2 linked regions of the Caenorhabditis elegans genome follow. The protein of the gene in region 2 interacts with the protein of the main gene of each other region in a pairwise test. Each region holds a gene or a part of one and is shown on either strand. Other genes may lie near its edges. The genes, in order: emc-2 and F25H2.4.

What was found.
Region 1: the proteins of F25H2.4 (region 2) and emc-2 interact in a two-hybrid assay, tested with the Caenorhabditis elegans proteins (3 studies listed by BioGRID).

Annotation. Positions count from the first base shown.
Region 1 is NC_003280.10:1,301,742-1,307,993, forward strand, and holds emc-2 (ER membrane protein complex subunit 2), read right to left. Parts: upstream 4,396-6,252; 5' UTR 4,379-4,395; coding exon 4,342-4,378; intron 4,289-4,341; coding exon 4,155-4,288; intron 3,811-4,154; exon of another isoform or gene 3,760-3,810; intron 3,644-3,759; coding exon 3,455-3,643; intron 3,399-3,454; coding exon 3,315-3,398; intron 3,263-3,314; coding exon 3,104-3,262; intron 1,410-3,103; coding exon 1,314-1,409; intron 1,258-1,313; coding exon 1,153-1,257; intron 1,002-1,152; coding exon 921-1,001; 3' UTR 758-920; downstream 1-757. Other genes in the region: alh-6 (L-glutamate gamma-semialdehyde dehydrogenase), read right to left, coding at 4,644-4,860, 5,429-5,766, 5,816-6,252.
Region 2 is NC_003279.8:10,550,095-10,553,728, reverse strand, and holds F25H2.4 (MPN domain-containing protein), read right to left. Parts: upstream 1,758-3,634; 5' UTR 1,751-1,757; coding exon 1,628-1,750; intron 1,322-1,627; coding exon 1,023-1,321; intron 973-1,022; coding exon 804-972; 3' UTR 682-803; downstream 1-681. Other genes in the region: ndk-1 (Nucleoside diphosphate kinase), read left to right, coding at 69-162, 221-535.

The sequences.
Region 1 (6,252 bases), on a different chromosome or scaffold from region 2:
AAGAGGGAGCTCTTTTTGCTTTTTCTCTGTTTCTTAGGGGAGTTTCAGGAACTAAAATACGGAATTCTACGGAAAAATTCGAGAAAATTGGATTTTGTAGTTTGTAGCACGAAAATTGTGTACTTTCCGCTGATTATTATCGATTCTGATATCAAAAATTGAATTCTACACACATTTTTACCCTTATGCAGCTTTTTTCCGCAAATTTTAGAATTCTCTGCACTTTTGCGTAAAGTGTTCCATGTTTGCGTACTTTTGAGGCTACAGTAACCCGGAAATTTTTATTACAACTCGAATGGAGTCGAAAAAGTCTCGTATGGGTGAAAAAACATAAAAATCCAAATTTAAAACTGATAATGCACAAAAATCAATAATTTTTTTTTGGCTCAACATTTCTGAAAATTATCATTTTTCACTGATTTTTTAAACGATTCTGACACAAAAATTGAATTCTACACAAATTTTTACCCATGTATGGCTTTTTTCGCGCATCTTTCAGGTTTCTGTGCATTTTTGCGTGAGTCGCATGGTGTTTGCGTACTTCTGAGGCTACAGTAACCCAACTTATCGATTTCAGCGCCAAAAAGGAGCCGGAAAAACCGGAATAGATGTGAAATAACGCAAAAATTCAAGATTTTCAAGAAAAAAGTAGTTTTTAGTCTAAAAATTGCTATCAAAAATTGGTCTGCCAGACTACAAACTACAAAAAGCTATTTAGCAGACCCAAGACTCTAAAATGGAGCAAAAACGGTGGCAAAAATCATCACATTTATTTATTCTTGAGGAGTTCTTTTTTTCGATAAATATACTTTCGATAGACATTAAAAAAATTGAATTTTAACAGAAAATAAATAGGAAATAATCGAATATTCGGGGGAATGTACGTAAAGCATATCATTTTTTGGGAGGAAATTGACAATTTATTTGCTTCCAACAGTGACTTTCATGGCTTCGAGGCAATTGAGAATTCCGTCCGATTCTGGATTGCTTTTTGGACTTATCTGGAATTTTTTAAGGTTATTTTTAGAAAAATCACGATTTTTTTCGAATTTTTTTTTCAAAAAATTCAAGAAAAAACAGCCGAAATTCGGCATTTTTTGGAGTTTTTAGAGCTTTTTCCAATTAAAAACTATTAATTTTATCAAAATCTACCTTCTGATAACGATTAACCAAATTATCGATTGCATCAACTGCTGCAGCTCCGGCTTTCTTCTTTTCCGTCGCATTTTTGGTGGTCGCCGCGATCAAATTGTTGCTCTGAAACATTAATATAGACTACAAACTACAAACTACAAACTACAAACTACACTTACCAATAGAATTCCGTATTGAGATCTCAAATCGGTTGGGTTGATTTTGAGCGCACGTTCGTAGTAGGAACGAGCCAATTCCACGTTTTCGGCGCCTCCCTGCAAAAAATATAGTTTGGGTCTGCCAAATATGAATATGTAGTTTGTAGTCCAGCAGACCAATTTTTTCAAAATCACATGGGTCTGCTAAATCGAAATTTGTAGTTTGTAGTCCAGCAGACCAAGTTTTTCAAAATCACTTGGGTCTGCTAAATCGAACATTGTAGTTTTTAGTCTAGCAGACCAATTTCGAATTGAAATCACTTGGGTCTGCTAAATCGAACATTGTAGTTTGTAGTCTAGCAGACCAATTTTTTTCAAAATCACTTGGGTCTGCTAAATCGAACATTGTAGTTTTTAGTCTAGCAGACCAATTTCGAATTGAAATCACTTGGGTCTGCTAAATCGAACATTGTAGTTTGTAGTTTAGCAGACCAATTTTTTTCAAAATCACTTGGGTCTGCTAAATCGAACATTGTAGTTTTTAGTCTAGCAGACCAATTTCGAATTGAAATCACTTGGGTCTGCTAAATCGAACATTGTAGTTTGTAGTCTAGCAGACCAATTTTTTTCAAAATCACTTGGGTCTGCTAAATCGAACATTGTAGTTTTTAGTCTAGCAGACCAATTTCGAATTGAAATCACTTGGGTCTGCTAAATCGAACATTGTAGTTTGTAGTCTAGCAGACCAATTTTTTTCAAAATCACTTGGGTCTGCTAAATCGAACATTGTAGTTTTTAGTCTAGCAGACCAATTTCGAATTGAAATCACTTGGGTCTGCTAAATCGAACATTGTAGTTTGTAGTCTAGCAGACCAATTTTTTTCAAAATCACTTGGGTCTGCCAAATATGAATATGTAGTTTGTAGTCTAGCAGACCGAATTTCTTCAAAATCACATGGGTCTGCTAAATCGAAATTTGTAGTTTGTAGTCCAGCAGACCAAGTTTTTCAAAATCACTTGGGTCTGCTAAATCGAACATTGTAGTTTGTAGTCTAGCAGACCAATTTTTTTCAAAATCACTTGGGTCTGCCAAATATGAATATGTAGTTTGTAGTCCAGCAGACCAATTTTTTCAAAATCACTTGGGTCTGCTAAATCGAAACTTGTAGTTTGTAGTCCAGCAGACCAAGTTTTTCAAAATCACTTGGGTCTGCTAAATCGAACATTGTAGTTTGTAGTCTAGCAGACCAATTTTTTTCAAAATCACTTGGGTCTGCTAAATCGAACATTGTAGTTTTTAGTCTAGCAGACCAATTTTTTTCAAAATCACTTGGGTCTGCTAAATCGAACATTGTAGTTTGTAGTCTAGCAGACCAATTTCGAATTGAAATCACTTGGGTCTGCTAAATCGAAACTTGTAGTTTGTAGTCCAGCAGACCAATTTTTTCAAAATCACTTGGGTCTGCTAAATCGAACATTGTACTTTGTAGTTTGCATTGTAGCAGACCGTTCAATTTTTTTTAGTTTTCCTTAAAAAAAATCAATTTTCAATCATTTTCGGTAATTTCTCTATATTTTTTAAAAATTTCTTCATTTTTTGCATTAAAATAATATATTTTCGTTGAAAATTTGTTTTTCTGACATTTTTTTGACGGAAAACTGACAATTTTCGATTTTTTTTCTTCAAAAAAAAAAGTAGAAAAACGAGAAAAAACCAATTTCCATTGAAAATGTATTTGGGTCTGCTAAATATGAATTGTAGTTTGTAGCCCCCAGCAGGCCCAAATTTCTCCAATTTTCCACACACATACTTGAGTATATCTCAAATCGGCTAATCGTCTGAAATACATGGAATTCAGCGGCGAAATGAGCACACACTCCTCCAGGCAATGTACCGCCTTTGCCACGTCATTTTCGAGCAGGAAAAGCTCGCTGAGCTGAAGCCAAGCTTCTGGGTCGTTCAGGAAAATCTGAAAATTAATAAATTTTAGAGTTTTTTTTTTCTAGAAATCAAATGAAAACCTTCAGGTAATCGTTGATAGCTCGAATTGCGTCGAGACGCTTTCCCTGAGCGAGAAGAACCGCGACTTTTCGCTTGCGGAAGCTCTGAAAATTCAAATTATTAGAAATTTTGCAAAAAAAAAATTTCCTGAATTTTTTACATTATTATTGGGCTCATCCTCAACCAGTCGCTCATAAATATCCAACGCCTTCTGATAATGTTCCGTAGATTCCAACTGCATCGCTTTCAGCTTCAAAACTCGATTACTCTTCGGAAATTGTGCGTGAAGTTGGTCAATGCAATCCTGAGCCAGATCGACACGAGCCGCGTCGAGTGCTGCGATGCACACCTGAAAAAAATTGGAAAAATTAGGTGAAAATTCGATTTTCTCGTGAAAAATGAGTATGGGTATGCTAAATCGAAGCTTGTAGTTTGTAGTCTAGCAGACCAAATCTCCTCAAAACTACATTGGTCTGCTAAATATGAATTTGTAGTTTGTAGCCTAGCAGACCAAATTTCATCGAAACCACTTGGGTCTGCTAAATATGAATTTGTAGTTTGTAGTCTAGCAGACCCAAATTATTGAATTTTTTCTCGAAAATAATCATTTTTTCAGTAAAAAATGACCGTTTTTATTGATTTTTTCCAGTTTTTCGCCGAAATTTGTATTATTTTCACTATTAATCAACCAGAAACGTGATAACTTAGAAAAAAGCGTGGGTCTGCTAAATATAATACTGTAGTTTGTAGTCTAGCAGACCAATATGCTTTTCACCAAAAAAACCAGAAAATCTATGGTTTTTTTCTATTCAAAGCCAGATTTTCAGGATTTTCAGCGTTTTTCGACAAAATTTCAGCACCTGCTCCAACACAGCCCATTGCTCGTCTCCAAGAGAAGCCGGTGAGCGTGAAATAACGTGCTCCCAAATTTCGACGACCTCATCACTTCGTCGAACTCCGCATTCTCGCCACTTTTTCAGCGCTTGACGTCCTTCTGCAAGCATTTATCGATTTTTTTTTCAAAATTTGAATATTGTAGAATGTTACCATCGTAAGAGACTTGCGTCCACTCGGTTTCAACCATTTTCGGGAGGGAAATTTCTGAAAAATATTGATTTTTTCCAACTTTTTAATGGAAAAGTTCGGTTGGAAGGTATAAAAATAGCGAGAAAACTATAAAATAAACGGTTATAGCTGGAAAAAAGGAAAAAAAACAAAATTTATTATGCGATCACGGGGGAAAAAAAATTAAAATTCAGTGGTAAAGCAATAATTGTTGACCTAATCAAAAAGAAAACTATATTCTCAATATGAGAAAAATCGGAAATGAAAAGAAAAAAACAACATAATTATTCCATTGATGGATATTTCCAGTCAGTCAATGACACCGACGTCTCCTTAATCGTCAGCGGCGAGGTCCATCGGAGCCCATAGTGGGGGCCACCGGCCTTATCATTGGTTCCGGACAATCTGGAGCCTCCGAATGGCTGCTGGCCGACGATTGATCCAGTTGATTTGTCGTTGAGGTACATGTTGCCGACGGCGTCGCGGAGAACATCGCGAGCTCTGAGAAAAAAAAACACTTTGTTGAAAAACGTTTTTAACACAAAAATTCGCCTCAAAAATCTCGAAAAATCGATCGAAATCCAACAAAAATTCCAATAAAAAATACCGTAGCCCTTTAAAGGGACACACACTTTCACTGTTGGGTCTCGCCACGCTCAGGAACATCTTACTGTCGCTTTCAAATTTTTTGTTTGTTGTTATCGCTTTTTTTTTTCGATTTTTGCCAGTTTTTCTAGCTTTTCATTTGATTTGTGACGAAATTCGAGGGTTTTTATTGGAGAAATTGTGTAATTATCGTTTTTCGACATTTTTTAACCTATTTTGTTCGGTTATAGAGAAATTTCTTGAAAATTGCCGAAAAAACAGAATTTCAAGATTTCGAATTTTCCGGGAATAATTTTAAATCGACTTTTGGCAGTTTTCTTGTGCCTAAAATGTTGAATTTCAGCATTTTTGAACATAACAAACCCGAAAATTCGAGTTTTTCTTCTTTCCGCTGGGTTTTTAGATAAAATTTTTGAGTCCCTGAAAACCTGTGCAAAAACTTGTATTTTTTGTAGTTGCCAACCTATAAAGGAACTCCTTATCCTGCGAAAAAACGGCGCCAGTCAGCCCATAAGGTGTCGCGTCTTTCACAGTCGCGAGCACCTCATCAACCTTCGAATCCTCGTAGACCAGTACCGTCACCACCGGTCCGAACATTTCCTCAGTGAGAAGCTTGCTCTTCGGATCCGTCACAGTGATCAGGGTCGGCTCGATGAAGTATCCCGTTTTGTCGTCACATTTTCCGCCGAGCACCACATTTGCTCCGTCGGCTCCGGTTTTCGCAAAGTCAATGTAGGCCTTGAGCCTGGCAAACGCCTTATCATCGATCACAGCCGACAGAAAGACGGATCCATCGCGAACCTGTAAACTACAAACTACACAAAAATCGGCAAGCCAAACAGTGGCCTACATCTCCAAGCTTGATCTCTTTGTGAATCGCCGAGATTTTCTCGAGAATCTTTGGCCAAATCGATTTTGGCGCGTACATCCTGGAGCACGCCGAGCACTTTTGTCCCGAATATTCCCAGGCGGAACGGGCGGTTCCAGCGGCGACAGCGTCCACGTGGGCGGATGGATGCACAAAGTGGAAGTTTTTTCCGCCGCATTCTCCGATGAGTTTCGGAAAAGTCACATAGTTATCCAAATTCTCGGCGACTTTTCTCCAAATCGTCTTGAAAGTTGGCACGGAGCCAGTGAAATTGACAGCGCTCAAGTGTGGAGATGCGGTGATGACGTCACCGAAAACGGGGCCATCTGATGGCAAGAATGAGAGAATTCCAGGTGGCATACCAGCTTCCTCGAGGAGTTCGTAGATTATATAATTGGAGAGCACGGCGGTGTTCGATG
Region 2 (3,634 bases):
GAAGAAACTTATTCTAGCATCCTCAATGGATTTTAGGATTTTCAAAATCCTAATTTTTTAAATTTCAGTGGTCTCGTCGGAAAGATCATCGCTCGTTTTGAAGAGCGCGGATACAAGCTTGTTGCTCTCAAGCAGATGACCGCCTCCAAGGCCCATCTTGAGGTACGTTTTCACGAAATTACAAAATTTTAGGCCCAACCAGTTAAATTATTATTTTTAGGTTCACTACCAAGACCTCAAGGACAAACCATTCTTCCCATCCCTCATCGAGTACATGAGCTCTGGACCAGTCGTCGCCATGGTCTGGCAAGGACTTGACGTCGTCAAGCAAGGACGTTCCATGCTCGGAGCTACCAACCCACTCGCTTCCGCCCCAGGAACCATCCGCGGAGACTTCTGCATCCAAACCGGACGCAATATCTGCCACGGATCCGATGCCGTTGACTCTGCCAACCGCGAGATTGCTCACTGGTTCAAGCAGGAGGAGATCAACGACTACGCCAGCCCATTCATCAACTCATGGGTCTACGAATAAACTGATTGCTTATGTCTCCCGGTGTTTTCACCGTTTTCGTATCTCTGCTGAATGTTGATAAAGTATTGCTTCCCACCTAAAACATCGTTTTTGTTGACATCTATTCCTGCGCATTCTCTAATGCGTTTTCATGGCAACCAATCCTACACGACTCAGCTGTCATCAAATCTTTTATTCAACCCGAAAACGGAAGGGGATTAAACATATAATATATTCAGATGACTGCAATAAGTTATGAAAACACGAATTAGGATAATAATTTCAGCTTTTAAGCTCTGAATTCCGCCACTTGCACGAGTTTGTTGCTCAGATTTGTGTTATAGAAGTCGAACTCGGGATTGTCCAAATGGTTTTCGAAATCGGAAAGCTCTCGGTACAACTTCTTCTGAATAACAGCTTGAAGGCCACGCAAGAAGTTGGAACCTTGGAAAATCGTTCTGAAATGAATATACTAAATGAATATATAACATCAAATGTTTTTTCCTACTTCGTTTCTTTCCAACTATCTCCATCTTTTTCATATGCCACGAGGCGGTCTTGTTCACAATCTGACACCAGTCTTTCGTTCATCACTTGTACGAGAATCGCTGCCGAAGAGGTAACAGAAGATATTCTGTCGGCGAGTCGAGTGGCATAAACGTTGAGAGAAGTGTCCGATGGAGTTGCATTTGAGAAATAGACGCCGACGAGGGAGGCACCAAACTTTCCATGGACGAGGGCTGTGGCAAGTTCCAGAGGAGGTGCGAGTGGAGTGGATTCATGGCAAAGAGGAACACAACTTGTTACCTGGAAAATAAATTATCAGATAGGATGGCAAATTCATTAAATTAAAACATTTCCCTGACTCAGAAATCTAGTATCGCATAACTCTTCTCAAAACGTAGAAAAGTATTTTTTATGCTCTCTTCAGCAACTGTTCATCATTTTGAGGTGGAGAGCGTAATTATTTTTTCTTGCTTTCAGCTTAGCAATTCTAATATATCGATAATTGGTATTAAAGACGACTGTCTTTGGAGAAAATAAGCGTACCGACATGACGATCAACTAATTTAAAATGTTCGCATTTAATGAATTAAACAAATAAAATTGTACCGTGACTTTGTCTCCTTTCTTGTTTCCAATCAGCAGTCCAAAAACACCCTTTGCCGGGTATTTCAGGCAGTGAAGGATGATTGTCGAGTAGGGGAGAGCCTGTGTTTCGACTTGATGCTTCATCTGCAAATTACTTGAATTTTAGCGAATTTTGTTTATTATTTGAAATCATCTAACAAATTTTAGGTATTCAGGATTGTATTGAACAATAAAAGAAGTTGAATACAGCGGTTTAATGAAAATAAATTAAGAAAAACAGTTATAACGTTGTTCTCTCTCGAAAATCGTCTTTAAAATTGAGTTATATTACATGAATAGATTGTTTTAGGAATAAATAAAATTAAGAAACATTTTAAACTGGAATCAAACCATTAAAACAATAAAAGAATCTCGAACACTCAACAAATATAAACTAAAAATCGTTAATTCCAAAGAGAGCATTTGTATTCTCAATGGAGCGCACTTGCGCAGAAAATTTATCAAATAAAAAAAAGGAGGGAAACAAGAAATTTCAAATGATTTTGATGTTTTTAAAGTTTAATTCGGATAATAATCATAAAATTAGGGAACAGAAAATCAAAAATTACATAAAATCTATGAAGTTCCTGATGAGAGCTCTTGAGCTCAATAATTCGATTGAAAATTCGTTAAGATTGGTGGAGCACAGCGCCTCAAATCGGGAGAGTTAAGAAAATTGAGAATTGGAAAGTCCAACGGAGCGCGCTTGCACACTTTTACGGTATTAAATGAGTTTCAGACGAAATTTCGCGATTATTCGAGTTTTCAAGATGAAATTTGGAAAAAATAATTAAATATTGGGATTATTATTGCTTTAAAAAAGTTTTAAAAAACATTTTATTGAACAAATTCAAGATTTGGCTGCTTTTTCATTGATTTTCGAACCGACTAGAACAAGTTAACTCTATGACAAAATTTCTACGCGAAACAAATTTTTTCAAGCATTAATATGTTTGATTCCAATTTTTAAACGTCAGCTTGATAGAAATAACACGGTTTCAAGTCTTGAAATTGTTCAAAAATGCACAAATCAACGGAAACTGTTTAGTTGGCAGCTGATCTTCACTAAACCAACACTAAATGTTCAGATCAAATCACAACTTGTTTGATCATTTGAAAAAACATTTTTGAATCATTGTTTCCCACAAAAAGCAGATGATAAGTAGTATAGCATGATGAGAATCCATATGATTCTTCATATGCGCATAGCTATAAATACTGTAACTTCGACAACTCCTATCTCCTCAGAGAGGCAAGATATCAAAAAGTGATTAACTAAGAAATTGCAGAACATATCAAAAACTATACTAATTAATTAAAATCATGTGTTTATCTCTTAAGATGAGGGAGTTAGAGCAGCCAGTATAATAACAAAAAGTATGCAATACAAATGTACGTCTAACTCCCCCATCTTGAAAGATAAAAACGTAGGTTAAATTGAATATCATAGTTTTTGATGTGCTCTACAAGGTCTCAGTTGATCACTTTTTGGTATCTCACCTCTCCGAGTAGATAGGAGTTGTCGAAGTTGAGGTATCTAGAGCTGCAGAGGGTAGGAAGAATCTGATGGTTCCTTATTAAGGAAAAGAAAATATAACACGAAACTTGTAATAAATGTTAATTTGATCATTTATGTGAGTATTTGAGCCATTTTTTAAGGAAAATTGGAGAGCAACACTTACATAAGAAATTTGGCGTGGCATAGATCCATTGGTAGATTGGGACATTGAAATTTGATCAGAACTATTTTATTTTTAGTGATTTTGATCGATTTGTAGCTTTATTCTAGTGAAATCTTCGATTTCATAAAAGGTTTTTAACCAATTTTGCAAGATTTCCCTTGATAAATGTTGCTTTCCTTTTTTATCGATTTCGTTGTAAAGAAAAATCATTTTTCTGTGTTATCAGTCAAATTAATGACTAAAACTCTTTAAAACGATTCAAACTATTAGCAAAAATTCTAAAATTGAATATTTATGCAATAAATTG